Stegostoma tigrinum: one gene and its partner. The protein of the gene in region 1 purifies or fractionates together with the protein of each later gene. This does not show direct contact. Links are inferred from orthologs where the notes say so. Each region holds a gene or a part of one and is shown on either strand. Other genes may lie near its edges. The genes, in order: klhl6 and nudcd3.

Region 1 (8,278 bases):
TGGTATTATACAATGCATTATGGCATTTTTGAGTTTGTCAAAGGAACATTATAAATGCAATGACTCTCTTTCTTTCAATAGTGGCTTTGAGCTTTACAACATTTCCCTGTCGATTTCCATGCAAAGGACTCAATATTCCACCTGCAGGATGTTTCTATAATCCTATCTAATGAAGTGATGGGCCTGGTCCTGGACTGATGATGGTGTCGAGAAGTCAGGTTATACTCCTTCTCAGATGGTTTCCCATGGACAGGAATCGGCCACAGGAGATGCTAACAAATATGAGTTCTGGGACACGGCTCCACAGTGTGAATTTACATTCGCCATGACTTGAATTTTCTTCTAGTCAATTCAAAAATTCTTTGGTATGGACTACACCATAAATAGGTTTTACATCTTTCAGAGTCTTTTGGTATTGTTGGGAGGTTCCAGTGATTTGCGATGCTTGTTCCATTGGGCATGGGAGACATTTGCGTTAAGGATCTGGTCACGGGGTACCATTGAGCTGTTACTATCCCCCAGACAATGACTACTTGGGGTCTCTAACCCACATAGTATCCCACAGGGAATTACTCACCAATCAACATTCACCCCACAATAACCTGCTGAGAGTTCCATGTAAAGAATTATTTTGTGGCACTACTTGGCTCTGAGTCAAATGATAAGGGGTTTAAGACCCAGTCCAGGTTTGTTGACATAATCTAACCTGTTGGTTCAGTGTAAGACAAAGAGAAAGAACATTATTGGAAATGCTCACTTTCACATGAACTATAGCAACTTGAAGATCAAAGGTATCTTCCAGATGCCCTGACCAATGTTCATCCCTCAATCTCCACCAAGAGTGACTTCTGTGTAAAATTGGTGTCATTGATTCAGTCGCTAATTTTAACACGTCCCCAAGCAAAAATTTGGGAGAAATCTGTAACTTGCTATTGCTATTTATTCCATAAAACACAAAGCCAAAGTTAATCCCTCAACAGTGAATTAATCAGTCATTATCACATTGCTGCCTATGTTTTATCGGCAATGAAGATCTATGCAAGTTAACAAACGTCTATATGAATGGACCAGCTGTCATCAACACATTTCTGTGCTGCAAGGGACCTGGACATTCCATCAATAAAGACTCTGCTGCATACACCTGATTAAATGGGAGGTCTATGAAAGAAATACTACTGTCCTTCTTGAAGCCAGTTCCACAAACATTCAGAAGAAACCCCAGCAAGATTAGCGGTGAAGAATTGAGCTCAGTGTCCAGTGGATGGCTGAAATTATCTCGCCTGCTGGGTCCCGTCTTCTCAACTACTGAATGGTCAATGTTCCAGGGAAGGGGAAAGAACACACTATAAAGACTCTCCGAAACTCTCCTTGAGGAACAGCATCACTGACATCAGTGACCGGGAGGAGATTGCTTCCATATGTTCAAAATGGCAACAATCTTTCTATCAAGTTTGATCACATTTTTGCCTGAAAACATTAATGACGAAGTGACGTAATGGCAGAGAAGGAAAGAAAAGAAAGCAAATCCTGCACCCCAGATCCCACTGCCTCATCCAACCAATGTACCCAAAGATCTGTAGGTTGAGAATTGGCCTGTGAATCATATTGGGACCCATGCTGGAAACACACAATCATACATTGACGTCATCTTCAATTCAAGGGACAGGTGGCAATGATGCTGCCTGTGTGATCTTTCTGTGCACAGATTGGCTACTTCGTCTGCATATATACCAACACTGATGACATTTCAAAAGTACCTCATTGGCTTTTTAGTGCTTTTGAAAGTTCTGATGATGTATAAATTTGTTAGATGGTTTATGTCTTTATAAATTTAAAGTAAAAGCACAACACACTGCATGCGATGAAAAGATGTGTCAGTCTATCAGCTTGATATCTATAGCCAAAGACATATTTTCTTAGGGGCTCAGAGGCTGATATTGGAGTCATAGTATGGAGCTGGACGAACACAGCAGGCCAGGCAGCATCAGAAGAGCAGGAAAGTCGACGTTTCAGGTCAGGACCATCTGTATTTATTTCCGAGCTCCCATCTCCATTTCTGAAGAAGGGTCCCGACCCGAAGTGTCAACTTTCCTGCTCCTCTGATGCTGCCTGGCCTGCTGTGTTCCTCCAGCTCCACACTGTGTCATCTTAGGGGCCCACTCCCCACAATCTTTTGCATCTTTAAATGGGCCCGTGATTTGTCTCACATATTGAGTAGCCAACTTTATTTGGGCATATTCCTGGGTCTTTCCTTTGGTATTTAAAAATGTCCGTGGCTAATAAATGCAAGTAAATGAACGAATCAATGAAAATGAATGAATTTTTTTAATTGTTTCCTGTTCGGGAGGCACAAAGTTGACAATGTTTGCTCATCCTCACATTTCCCTAATGTTTTGCTCCAATAATCACAGATCAGCAATAGGATACCACACTGAGACATCAGGAACAAACTAATAACTGAAGCCATTCCTATTTGTCAGCTGTGGCACTTAAACAGTGAACAGAAAGACAGGTACAGAGTTTCTTTGAGTAAAAATGATTGGCCACAGAACAGTGAGGTTTTGGAGCACTATTACTGTATATTTCTTTATCTCTTTATTGGTTTACAGGCTTCAGCACCACCTTCAAAGCTCTTTGTCTATTCTTTCTCCCTTAAGATGCTACTTAAAACATACCTCTCCATCACTGTAACTATGCTTTGCTTTGGGCCTTTGTTTCCGACTTGGTGTCATTTTTCCATCCTATTATTCTGCTGTGATGATACATTAAAGGTGCTATTTCAATGCAAGTTGTTGCTGGCAAAGACATTCTCAAACTCGGGAACTATTCAAACGTTGGGCAGAAATTAGCGTCGTCCCAAAGAAATGATTGTCGTGGAATATCCATGGCAAGATTTAACTTGAATATCAACAAATTGCCTTTATGCAGTGTCTCCAATACAGTTAAAAAAAGACTTGGACTCCCCACAAGGGAATTATCAGACACAGATAATTGTGTTGACACAAAGGAGATATTAGGGCCAGTGAGCAGATGTTTGGTCAAACAAGGAGGTCTGAAGGAGCTTTTTAAAGGTCCACAGAGGAGAGGCAAAGGAGTTTAAGAGATGGAAGTCAGGACTTCAGGCCTAGACAACTGAAGGTACAGTCACCGATGCTGGGCCGAAGGAAATATCCAACAGTCTTGGCACATAAACAAAGAAATGATGCTTTCGGCCTACCTGAAGTAACTGCTGGCAGCTGCCAACACAACCCGGTGACAGGAAAACTCTCTGTCATCCACACACAGGACAACATCCGTGAGGGAGCTGTCCAGCCGGAGGTCATCCAGGCCACCCTGCAGGATAGTGGAGAAGCCGGTGTCGTTGAAAGTCACTGTCCCGTCTGACGAGCTTTCTGTCAGCCCCTCAACAGCCCAGGTATGTTTCCCAGCCTGGCAGCTCGAGCCCTTGTCGCTGCTGCTCTCCACTACAACAGCCATTTCGCATACTCCTGCCTGGTTGCTCCACTCCTCACAGGCTGATGCAGCGTTTTGAGGTTTCACAGTCAGTTGTAATGTTGCCCTTTGACGGATTTCCTGCTCATGACTCGCTTCTTATCAGAGACCAACACATATGCAGAACAGGAAGAGCAACACTTTCTCGTATTTTTTTCCTTCTTCGCCATCCTCCCCTGCCCCCCTCACCCCCTGCCTGTACTGATGTGGAGTTGTTAGCCCATCGAATGATCATAATAAAATGTTTTTGCACCTCTTTCAAGTTTCCTTTCTGCTGTACAGAGAGCTGAAAGTTACTTCACTGGATACAGCTCCAATAATATCAGAACGTTTATAGCCATTGGGTGTAAGAGGCAAAGCAAGGGTTTGGAAGATGAGCGTGTCTGATCTGAATCCTCAATGCGACAGTCAGTTCCAATCTGAGGGATGCCTTCCCCAGAATAAGATGTTTTCTGGCAGGTCCACAACAAGACAGCGATGATTTTCCATCACGCAATTCCTTTAATGTTCCACCATCTCTCCTGGAGGATAATGGTGCTTGTTGATGTTTGATGCTATGGGCTTGGAAAGTTCATACATTGTGTTGCAAAGTGCAAACACTGCCTCTCGCAGTGAGTTCACAAATTCTAACCCTAGTGCAAAGCTATATCACTGCCGCCAGAGGGTGGTGGGCTTATGGAATTCATTGCCGCAGAGTGCAGTGGAGGCCGGGACGTTGGATGCCTTCAAGGCAGAGATCGACAAATTCTTGATCTCAAAAGGAATCAAGGGCTACGGAGTGGGGGGGGGGGGGGGGGGGGGAGTGCAGGGAAGTGGTGTTGAAATGCCCATCAGCCATGATTTAAATGGTGGAGTGGACTTGATGGGCCAAATGGCCTTACTTCCACTCCTATGTCTTATGGTCTTAGGATGAGGGGATCTAGTGCAGCAAGTGTGACCAATAGACAGGGCAATGGATCCCGTTGAAACACAGTCGTCAGGCTGATAGGGAATCAGGATTAAGCATTCTCATTATATGTAACTGTAGTGTAATATTGCAGTCTCCTGAGACAATCAGCGCAGACTGAATATAGTTCTGGATTTGAGTGAAGATTGTAGCTTCGGCTGTTGGCTGTAGACGTTGGTTGAGGATATCACCTTGTAAGGGGATGAAACGTTTGCTATCAAACCTCCCAGCTCGACGAACATACCAACATCCACAGACTAAATATAATCACTGGAATAAAGTGAGGCAAGTTTACAAATGATGCTTTTTGGGTTATAGGATGTCAACTCAAATAGAGCATTTTTTCACTTTTTAACCCTTGAACCCTATCAAACTGTCCCAAGTTAAGAACCACAGATTGGGTGTTGAGTGAAGCTTCCTCTACACTGTGTCAACAAACATTTCCAGTCTTAATTACAGTGCAAATCTCTTGTACGGTCGCATCAAACACTCCCTGGGCAGTTACAGCCAAGGTCGACATAAAATAAAACTCCCTTATCCTGTCTCGTCATGTGTTGCTAAAACAAGGATAAGTTAGAGACAGAGTAAAGCTGACTGTAAAATTGAGAAATTCTCAGGTCATATGCATCACAGTTGGCTACAGAGTAGAAACTGTTCCGTGAAGCATTCCCAGGTGAGAAACAGCACAGGTCAGATATAGAGTAAATCTTCCACTACAGTGTTATAACAAGATGTGGCAAGTTATCAATAGCAGCAATTCAACTTCAATCCAACCTCAGTGTCAGATTAGCACCGCCTGCTGCAATAGTCTATCCTCTGACCTTTCCCAGGGAGGTTGTCAATTGCAAGGCCATTTCCAATTTGTGTAAAAGTGTGAACAATTCCATGGGCCACGCCAGAAACTTGAGTGCCAGCTATCCAAATGCAGGGCAGATGAAACTTATCAAGCATTTACAAACCCCTACTTTATTGGTCTGCTCTGTATTTCCAATGCAGAGTGCAGGGAGTGATCTGATGAACTTTGACAGCAAATTTGCATCAGGTCTGTCAATCCAGTTCATTCACTAGATCATCTCCACGATGCCCCATACATTTTTTGAAGGCAATTATTGCTAAGTAAACAACTGCGAGTGTTTGAATGTTCTGTGTGTTCAATGTTGCCTGCAAAAGGTAGAGACGCTTGGTGGTTTGGCCATGTTAAATTGCCCATAGTGTTCAGGTGGGTTATAGCGGGGTGGGTCTGGGTGAGATGCTTTGAGGTTCGGTATGGACTGGGCCGAAGGGCCTGTTTCCACACTGTGGGGATTCTATGATTCTATGAAAGCAATCTGGTTTATTTTAAGCATGTCACAATATTAAAATAAGGAAGTTGTGCAACAGTTACAGGCTCTTGATCAGTTTTCTTCCGGAGTATTGTGTTTAGTCTAGGAGCACTGCACCTCAGGAAGAATATAGTGGCTTGATTGAGTACACACTAAGACTCCCAGAATGATAAAAGATAAAACTATTAGGACAGTGCTCATACAAAAGGTACTCTCTCCGAAATCCCTCTGCCTCAGTACTGAGGCCATGCCAGATTTTGGAACTTGCTGACTTTCAGGGAAAAATTTGGAATGTGTTAATTCAGGTCAAGATCCAGTCAATAGGGGAACAGGAAAACCAACAGATATTATAAGTTAATCACCATATCGCTGCTGATATTAATTCACTTCACACGCAAAGGCTCGTACACACCATTCCCCACTTCCCTACATTGGTTAGCCGATTTAAATTGACAAAAAATTGTCGTGTTTGTGTGTGTGTGTGTGTGTGTGTGTATATCCCTGTATAAATGCACACAATTAGTTCAATTTAGCACTCTTCTTAGAGTCACTTAATATTCTGGCTGTTTTCCAGGTCATTGGATCTGTTGTTATTTTGCATCAGAGGAAGTTCACTTTAAGCTCCGCCCTCCTCTGTCCTGTTTGGAGAAGTGGGCCTATTGTTCCACAGAATGATCTGCTCCACTAACTATTACAGATATCCATCTCACTTTGAGATTAATCCCCTTCCCCTCAGTTATGCCTTTTCCGATGGGACATCTTAAAACCTTTGCTCAACATTCATCTACCAAAGCCGGAATAAGAGTCTAAATCTCAGGATATAATGGACAATTCTTGTCCTTCCTGGGGCTGGGGGCTAGGGTTTGAATTTATAAGCTCAATCATTGTTAAAATGTTTTTGACAAGCTTTACTTTTTCCTTAAACATATAACACATCATCATTGTCACATTTGTGGAAGGCTACATGATGGTGCGTTTTCCCTCCATTACTTCAGAATATTGTGTTGCACAAAATCATTATCTTTAACTAACCCTCCCATTCCCTCCCTCACATCCCTGGGGGGGAACTGACTCCAGCTAGAACAGAGCTGAATGTGTTTTGAGATAACAAGGTGTAGAGCTGGATGAACACAGCAGGCCAAGCAGCATCAGAGGAGCAGGAATGCTGGCGTTTCGGGCCTAGACCCTTCTTCAGAAATGGGGGAGGGGAAGGAGATTCTGAAATAAATAGGGAGAGAGGGGGAAGCGGATCGAAGATGGATAGAGGAGAAAATAGATGGAGAGGAGACAGACAGATCAAAGGGGCGGGGATGGAGCCAGAAAAGGTGAGTGTAAGTGGGGAGCTAGGGTGGGGATAGGTCAATCCAGAGAGGATGGACAGGTCAAGGAGGCCGGCTGAGGCTGGTAGTTAGGAGGTGGGGATGGGGCTTGAGGTGGGAGGAGTGGATAAGTGGGAGGAAGGTCGGACAGGTTAGGGAGGCGGGGATGAACTGGGCTGGTTTTGGGATGCATTCAGGGAGGGGACATTTTGAAGCTTGTGAAGTCCACATTGATACCATTGGGCTGCAGGGTTCCCAAACGAAATATGAGATGCCGTTCCTGCAACCTTTGGGTAGCATCATTGTGCCACTGGAGGAGGCCCAAGATGGACATGTTGTCTAAGGAGTGGGAGGGGGAGTTGAAATGGTTCGCAACTGGGAGGTGCGTTTGTCGCGAACTGAGCATAGGTGTTCCACATGTGTGACCTATTTTGATTTATGTGCAACCACAGACGTTGACTGTCATCTGAAAGAAAGAGCATGCATTTGTATAGCACGTTTACTATCTCAGGATATCTACCCAAAAGCATTCACATTGACTGACATACTTCGGAAGTGTTGCAATATAACAACCAGTGTGTAGAGCTGGATGAACCCAGCAGGGCAGGCAGCATCAGAGGAGCAGGAAGGCTGACATTTTGGAAAGGTCTATTTCTTCAGAAGGGTCTATTTCTGAAGAAGGATCTAGCCCAAAACATCAGCCTTCCTGCTCCTCTGATGCTGCTTGGCCTGCTGTGTTCATCCAGCTCTACATCTTGTTATCTCAGATTCTCCAGCATCTGCAGTTCCTACTATCTCTAATAACCACTGTGGCTTGCTTGTGCACAGCACATTTCTAAAAAGCATAGTTAAATAAATTACCCTTTTGTATTAGAGATAATGGGAACTGCAGATGCTGGAGAATCCAAGATAATAAAATGTGAGGCTGGATGAACACAGCAGGACAAGCAGCATCTCAGGAGCACAAAAGCTGACGGTTCGGGCCTAGGCCCTTCATCAGAGAGGGGGATGGGGTGAGGGTTCTGGAATAAATAGGGAGAGAGGGGGAGGCGGGCCGAAGATGGAGAGTAAAGAAGATAGGTGGAGAGAGTATAGGTGGGGAGGTAGGGAGGGGATAGGTCAGTCCAGGGAAGACGGACAGGTCAAGGAGGTGGGATGAGATTAGTAGGTAGCTGGGGGTGCGGCTTGGTGTGGGAGGA
Region 2 (8,296 bases), on another chromosome or scaffold:
TAGTAGGGGTGGACGCTAAGAGGTCGTTTCCGTTAGGCGGAGAGACTAGGACCCATGGGCACAGCCTTAGATTTAGAGGGGGTAAATTTAGAATGGAAATGAGGAGACATTTCTTCAGCCAGAGTGTGGTGGGCCTGTGGAATTCATTGCCACGGAGCGCAGTGGAGGCCTGGCTGTTAAATGTCTTCAAGACAGAGATTGATAAATTTGTGATCTCGCAAGGAATTAAGGGCTACGGGGAGAGTGCAGGGAAGTGAAGTTGAAATGCCCATCAGCCATGATTAAATGGCTGGAGTGGACTCGATGGGCCGAATGGCCTTACTTCCACTCCTATGTCTTATGGTCTTATAGTAAGCGAGGGAAGTGGAAAAGCTGATAAGGAGGAAAATGAGTAGGTAAAGATGGATTGGGTGCACTGAAAGCGACTGCACCCAAAACATAAAGTCAACTTTCTCTTTTGACATGGAAATCTGCTTTTATTCCAGATATTGGTGGCTAGTCTATCCCCAGACATGGAAACAGGGGTGACGAGGAAGGGAAGGCAGGAGTCAGAGAGAGACCAAGTGAAGATGGGAGTAAGGTGGAAACTGGAAGCCAAACTGATCATTTTTTTCTAATTCTGGGAGAAAGAGGGATGCAGCGCCAATGATGTACGGGCCATGTACGAGAGAAAATGTTGTGGGTGGGGTCCCCAATTCAGACACGAAAAATTATGTTCCAAGTAACCAACAAAGAGACAGGCATCACTGGGGCCCAAGCACGTACCCACAGCCATACTTTTGATCTGAAAAAAGAGACAGGAATTTAAGTAAGTGTTGTTTGAAGCCAGGATGAACTCAATCAGGTGGAGGAGGGTGGTGATGGAAGATGGGAATGGTTCAGCGCCTCCATAAAGAAGCAGAAAGCCCGAAGACAATCTGATCATGAATGAACATGTGAAGGGATTGCATGTCCACGGTCAAGAGGATGCCACTGTTGCCGGCAAAACGGAAATTCTAAAACAGACAGAAAGCATCAGAACAATCCAAGTGAAAGGACTGGACAAGGGCAAAAAAAGTGAGTCAAAAGCATGAAGACATTAAGTTCCATCGGGCAACAGCCAGCAGAAACATCATGTTTGTGGACTTTGGGAAGAAACTGGAAGTGGGCCGTGTGGGATTGGAAGACTGTGAGCTTGAAGGCAATGCAGACTGTGCAATGCCCTCCCGACAATGACTCACTTCGCAGCTCCACACGTATCATGTCCATCGATCAAAATAACTTACCAGCAGATTCACTGTTGTCATTAACTGACCAGTTGAGATGTTGAAAAACTAATTCTCATTGTTATAGACGTTGTATCCCTGTCACTCTTTGAGAAATGGGCACGAAGCCGAACACCACATTTTGAAAAGCAATTGTGGGCACACTCAGGTCTCATAAAATACACCTGCATCTTAACAATCCAAAGGAAAAACAGAAAATTTTGGACAAACTCAGCAGGTCTGGCAGCGAATGCACAGAGGGAGAATGAACTTTGAGTGTGACAGTTCTGAACGACTCAAGTCAAAGAAAAAAAACATTAAAAAACTTTTTCTCTCTCTCAACCAACGTTGCCAGACCTGCTGAATTTTTCCTGCAATTTAAGTTTTCATTTCAGATTTTCAACATCCACACTATTTTGCTTTTAACAAGCAAGCTGTGCTGCTGTTCACGTTTCATTCTGTCCATGAACTAATTACAGCATTAGATCAGCATTACTCCTGAAAGTCACTTTTTTCTGGCATCTCACAATGAAATTCTTCTGAACTCAACCACTTTTGAACAAGTTATCAAAAAGTCACTCAACTGGTTACTGTGTGCAGTTCTGTGCTCCTCACCGCGGAGCACTATTTACTTAGATTCTCTGTCCATTTGTGTTGATTCTGTAAATAATTTTAAAAGTGCAAATCCCAGGAAGGTCAAAGGTCATCCAGTCAGGGCTGACTGAGCTGGTATTGGCACAAGGCCAGGATGGTCAACTGAATTGGCTGAAGCCATTGAGTTCTGGTATGGTGCCTTTAACTTGGTGGAGTATCCCAAGCTCTTTCACGAGCAATTTCAGCTTCATCTGACACCAAGTCACATGACAAGTCATAGAATCCTTACAGTGTGCAAACAGGCCATTCAGCCCAATAAGTCCACACTGAACCTCCGAAGAGCATCCTACCCAGACCCAAACCCCTACCCAATCCATGGAACCCTCTGTTTTCTCTGGCTAATGCACTGAACCTACACATCCCGTAACAGAACGGACAATTTAACATAGCCAACCCACAAAACTTGAGGACCTTTGGAGTCTGGGAGGAAACCCACACAGACAGTCACCTCAGGGTGGAATTAAGCTTAGGTCCCTGGCACGGTGAGGCAATGGTGCAAACCACTGAGCCACCCATGATCTTGATTAAGATAAGTAGATTTTAAGCTGTTACTGAACGAGGAAAAAAAACAAGATTGCGAGTCAGAGACACTAGGATCCCAACTCAATACACTTCAGTGCTTCAGGTCCACATGACTGAAGACACATGGGCATGACTAGAACTAAAATCAGACATGCAAGAACCAGAATTAGAGTGAAACAGAAAACCCCTGGAGAATTGGACTGGGGTACATTTGATTGAAGGAGAAGCAAAGATCTGTTCTGGAGTCTGAAAACCGCAATCGAGGTGTCGTTGGACAGGGCGTGCGCACCTGAAGTTGGGTGGTTACCGTTCTGTACTCCCCTCCCAAGCTGAGCACTCCAACCTCCACTGCCACTATTCCTCTAGCCACCTGTAAACCTCCTGCAACAATGCACCCGCTTGTTCTTGACCCTTGGGCTGAGGCCAGCAGGTGCTCCTTAGCCACCCAGTCAATGCCCCTCACCACTGCAGCAAATGGCACTTGAACTCAGATGTTTTGGCAGGGACACAATCAACATGCCACAAAACCCCGAATAATGGAACTTAAGGAAGATGACAGCTGGTGCTCTGAAGCAACTAAGTTCAAAGGGGCAAAAGGAACCAAAAACAAAAATGCATGTGAGGGAGAGTTGCTGAGAGGGTGGCTTTTCGACCAGAACACACTTTCAGATTTGACACTGGGCTGTCTTGGTCCACAACTGGAAAGCCTGGGGTTTGATTTTGAGCAGGAGACGGAGAGGGTCGGGAGGGAGGCGACAGAGGAAGCGAACCGGTGCCTTGGCGGCGGCGGGGGCCTCCTCGGTCCGCGGGCACTCACCCTCAGGGCCAGCTTCTCGGCCACTCCGGGTGGGAACCCCAGCCTGTCCTCCTTCAGCGCCATCACTCGGAAAAAGTCGGTCTTCCTGTAGAGGAAGCCGAAGAAAACTTCCAGAAAGTTCTCGATCTTGCCCACATGCTGCAGGATGCCCAGCAGCGCCTGGTCGTACATCTCGGTCACCTCGGGAGGGCCGTCCATGGCCGCCTCGTCCCTTATCCTCCTGGACTCCCGCGGTCTCCCTGGGCACTCGACAATAATCTCGATCCTTTTGTTTTCTTCCTTGGTTTTAGTTTTCTTCCCCCGTTCCTTTCGCGTCTCTCTCCTCCCAACCGCTCGCCCGAGGGACTTCCGGCGGAACCGGTCCGTCACCCACAATCATCCCCCGCCCCGGCACCGCGTTTCCCCGTCTCTAACCTTCCCCCGCTCACAACGCCAACGCGACTGGAGACAAGAGGTGCAGCTGGTGTCTGGAGGGTATCAGGTGATGAAGGCAGGTTCAAATGGTTGCATTCAAAAAGGAATTAGTTGGATTTTATAGGAACCCGTTCGGGGAAGTTTGAACGCTCATCTGAAACAAGTGGGATTTGAACGCAGACCTCCTGAGTCGGAGGAGAGACACAAACAATGCCTCTTGTTCCTCGGGAAGCTAAGGAAATTCACTACGCCCATAACAAACCCTCAACCACTTTTACAGATGCACCATAGTTACCATCCTGTCTGGATGCATCACGGCTTGGTATGGCAACTGCTCTGCTCAGGACCGTAAGAAACTACACTGTGCACAGTCCAGACCATCATGCAAGCCAACTTTCAATCCATTGACTTCAAATACACTTCAAGATGCCACAGATATGCAGCGAAGATGACCAAAGAGCCCTCCCACACTCAGGCAGTAGATACAAAAGCTTAACCAAAAATCCCAACAGGTTCAAGAACAGAGATAGCAGAGATAACAAGGTGAAGAGCTAAATGAACACGGCAGAACAAGCAGCTGTGAAGAAGAATCTGTGAAGAGGGAAAACGTCAGCTTTGTGCTCCTCTGATGCTCTTGGCCTGCTGTGTTCATCCAGCTCTATGGCTTGTCATCTCAGGTTCGAGAACAGCTTCTTCTGAACGGACCTCTCAAATTTCAAATCCAATGTTTAGCTTGCTTTTTGTGCACCTTCTTTCCGGCTGTAACTTAGTCTTCCTTACTGTATTCAGTCACCCTAGGATCTTGGTATGTGATGATCTGCCTATACTGCGCACAAAACAAAATGTACCAAAGTACGTGACAATAATAAATCAAATCAAATCACAGCCACTGCATCAGCACGGCCATGCAAAGGGAATTTGATAGCTTTCCAAAGAAGAAATAAGCTGCAAGATTCGACCGAGCATATAAAAGTATGAAACAAAGTGTGGGGCTGGATGAACACAGCAGGCCAAGCAGCATCTCAGGAGCACAGAAGCTGACGTTTCGGGCCTAGACCCAAACAAAGTATGTTGCTGATTGGCAAACAGAAGAATAAAATTGGTTCTGAACTTGCAACAATTCTCAACAACTAGCTAACATTTTAGAAGTCTGTGAGGTCAAAACAGATTTTTGTTTTCCTTTAGGGTCTATCTATAAGGATCGTTGGTGAATTTCTGCCTCTTGTAGATAGTACACACTGCTGCTACTGAGCATCGGTGGTACAGGGAGTGGATGCTTACCGATGTGGTGCCAATGAGGCAGCTGCTCTGTTCTGGATAGTAGGGAAACTCCTTGATTTGATTTATTATTTTCACATATACTGAGATATAGCAAAAGGTTTTGTTTTACATGCTATCTAGGCAAATCATTACCTCACACAAGTGCCTGAGGGAAGTAGAACAGAATATTATGTTACAGCTATAGAGGAGATGCAGAAAAAGATGACCTCTAATATATGAGCTGTCCAATCAAGGTCTAATAAAAGCAAGTAAGAAGCTGTTCTTGAATCTGTTGGTCCATATTTTCAAACTTTTCCATCTTCTGTCTGAGAGAAGAGGATAGAAGAGAGTATAACCGGTGTGGTCTTTGATTATGCTCGCTGCTGTTCCAAGGCAGTGGTAACTGTAGATGGAGTCAATGGAGAGAAGGCTAAATTTTTGTGACAGTGTGTACTGCGTTCACAATTCTCTCTAATTTCTTGCAGTTTTGAGCACAGCAGTTGGCATACCAAGCTGTGACACACCTGCATAGAATGCTCTCGATGGTGCATCTATGAAATTGGAAAAAGTAATTGTAGACCTGCTGAATTTCCTTAGCCTTCTGAGGACATTGAGGTGTGGGTGCACAGTCTTGACTGTAGCATCATGGATGAACCAGGATAGGTCACTGGTGATATTTACTCCAAAGCACTTGAAGCTCTCAACCTCTTGACCTCAGCACCATTAATACACATACTGACATGTGCTCCACTCCCGTTCCTGAAGTCGATGACCAGCTCCTTCGTTTTGCTGGCATTGAGAGAGAGAAATTGTTGTTTTTGCACCATGCCACTAAGCTGTCTATCTTTTGCCTATACTCTGTCATGATGGTGGTGTCATCAGCAAAGTTGTCAATCGAGTTAAAGCTAAATTTGACCACACAGTTGTGAGTATATAGGGAGTATAGTCAGGGGCAGAGTACACAGCCTTGTGAAACACCAGTAAGGATTATCGTGGAGGACGTGTTGTTACTGATGGCAGTCTGTGGATGAGGAATTCAAGGATCCAGTTGCAGAGGGCGGAGCAGAAACCCATGTTTTGTTGTTTGGAAGTTAGGTTGGCAGTTGAGGGCTTAGTTGAAGGCAGAGCTCTATAAGAGCCTGACGTGGGTATTCTCATTATTCAAATGTTCCAGGGATCAGTGTCGGTCTAAGAAGATGGCATTTGCCACGGACCTATTATGACAGTTGGCAAACTCTAGTGGATCAAGGCTGTCGGGGAGGCTGGAGTTGACGTGTACCATTACTAACCTCTCGAAGCATTTCATATGATGGATTTCAGAGCCACTAGGTGTTAAGTCATTGAGGCGGGCTCTCTGCTATGTCTTTGGCACCAGGCTGATAGTGGTCTTCTTGAAGTCGGTGGGAACTTCAGATCGTAGTAAGGAGAGGTTAAAGATGTCAGTGAATAGTCTAGCCAGCTAGTCTGCACAGGATCTAATTGCATGGCCAGGGTCTCCATCCAGGCCAGTTAGTTTCTATAGGTTCACCCTAAAGATGCTCAGCTGACATTTGCAGCAGTGACTATGGGTACAGGTGGACCTGAAGCTGCAGGGCAGGTCACATCATTTCACTGACAGTCGGTTTCAAATGAGCACAGAATGCATTCAGCTCATCAGGGAGGATTGCAATGTTGCCAGCAATTCTATTCAACTTCACTTCGTCACCTGTTTTCTCATGCCAGTCTTGCCACAATTGACATGTAGTTGTACAGTTAGTCTGGGACTTTAGTCTAATCTGGTGTCTTTGTCTCTTAGTGTCCCTGATGGCTTTTCAAGGGTTGTACCTAGATTTGCTGTATAGGTCAGGGTCACCCGATGTGAACGCCTCAGACCTGGACTTCAGTAGGGAGAACATCTCCCAGTTAATCCACGGTTTTTGGTTGGGGAACACTCAGATTAACTTCTTTGGCAAACATCTTCCAGACAATTACTAATTAGGTCGGTGACGGTAGTTGCATTATCATTTTGGTTGGTAACCGATGTTCAATATGGACCAGTCCACCGATTCCACGCAGTAACAAAGGAGCTCATCCATTACTTCACACCAGCACAAGACAACTTTATGTCCAGGCCCTCGTGCTTCAGTTTTTGCTTGTAAGCCGAGAAAAGGTGCACAGTCTTATGGTTCGATTTTCCAAAATATGGGAGGGAGTTAGAGAGTTGGCACCTTTCATGATTATATCACAATGGTGAAGGGTGTTTGGGCCTCTAGTGGGACAGGAGATATGTTGATGGTATCTTGATAGCATACTCTTGATGTGAGCATGGTTCAATTCGCTGGCTACAACGAACAAGGCCTCAGGGTATTCTGTGTCAAGGCTATTTTTCACAGCGTACATTTCATCAATTGCAATCTTCAGTTCTGCATGGAGTCGGATGTAAACTGCTGTCAGGCTAGCAGAAGTGAACTCCCATGGCAGGTGGTAGGTACAGCACTTGACTGTTCTACATTCAGGGAGCAGTAATGTGTCAGTGTCATCACATCTGAGCACCAAGGGGCGTTGATCATGAGGCAGACCCCTGTGCCCCACGCCTTGCTCAAGGATGTTGTGTGTACCGTCTGACAAAATTCAGAAACAGTCAGTTGAAGCAGGAATGAGCCATGTCTTTGTAAAAGAGTGCACACAGCAGGCCACTCAATTCCCTTTGGTCGGTGCGTCCAGCTTGTTTTCCACAGCTTGTACTTTTGCACAAGTGCCTCAGGATAAGGTGGCACCTTTGGCTCCTTCATCAGTGAGATCTTCCCTCCATCCACAGGTCAGAGCCAGGGATACTGAACTTGAAACTGCATCACCTGCAGGCCAGCACATCTCTCCCATTTCCTGGGTAAGAGGCTGCTTCTGGTCAGGCCCAAGGAGCCAGTGTAGATTGTCTGCCATCCCAGAAGGTACATGCGTGCATCCAGTAGGGTCATGGACACAGATCGCAGCCTTGGGTACACCGGAGGGTGTATTGATTTCGATCTGGCTGGGCCACAAAGTCAGGTCTCCACAAGGTCAGGTAAGGTCGCAGAGCCGGGTTGCCGATCAATATCTGGTGTTGGGCCTTCCAAAAGCCAGTAACTGGTTCATCTCTTTGTTGTCACAGTCGCGGATCCAGTGTTAGCAGTTGGGCCCCACTCACCACACTCCAGCGCCATTTTGGAAGCGGTCTCAATTGTCATCCCAGGTGTACTCATCCGGGCAAGTAGGGAGTATTCCATTGCATTCCTGGCATGTTCTTCATAGATGATGGGCAGGCTGTGGGGAGTCCGAAGGTGAGTACTCGCTGCAGTACTCCGAGCTTCTGGCCTGCTCTTGTAGCCACTGTGTTTGTGTGGCGAGTCCAGGTGAGTTTCTGGTCAAT

What was found.
Region 2: the proteins of klhl6 (region 1) and nudcd3 purify together in Homo sapiens (affinity purification with mass spectrometry; 3 studies listed by BioGRID and IntAct, counting the BioPlex papers as one, with this or other methods). This does not show direct contact. The link is inferred for Stegostoma tigrinum from reciprocal best matches to the Homo sapiens genes KLHL6 and NUDCD3.

What each region holds. Positions count from the first base shown.
Region 1 is NC_081367.1:10,818,923-10,827,200, forward strand, and holds the start of klhl6 (kelch-like protein 6), read right to left. Parts: upstream 3,513-8,278; 5' UTR 3,478-3,512; coding exon 3,218-3,477; intron 1-3,217. UniProt on the Homo sapiens protein: Involved in B-lymphocyte antigen receptor signaling and germinal center formation.
Region 2 is NC_081393.1:11,210,866-11,219,161, reverse strand, and holds the start of nudcd3 (nudC domain-containing protein 3), read right to left. Parts: upstream 3,597-8,296; 5' UTR 3,436-3,596; coding exon 3,238-3,435; intron 1-3,237.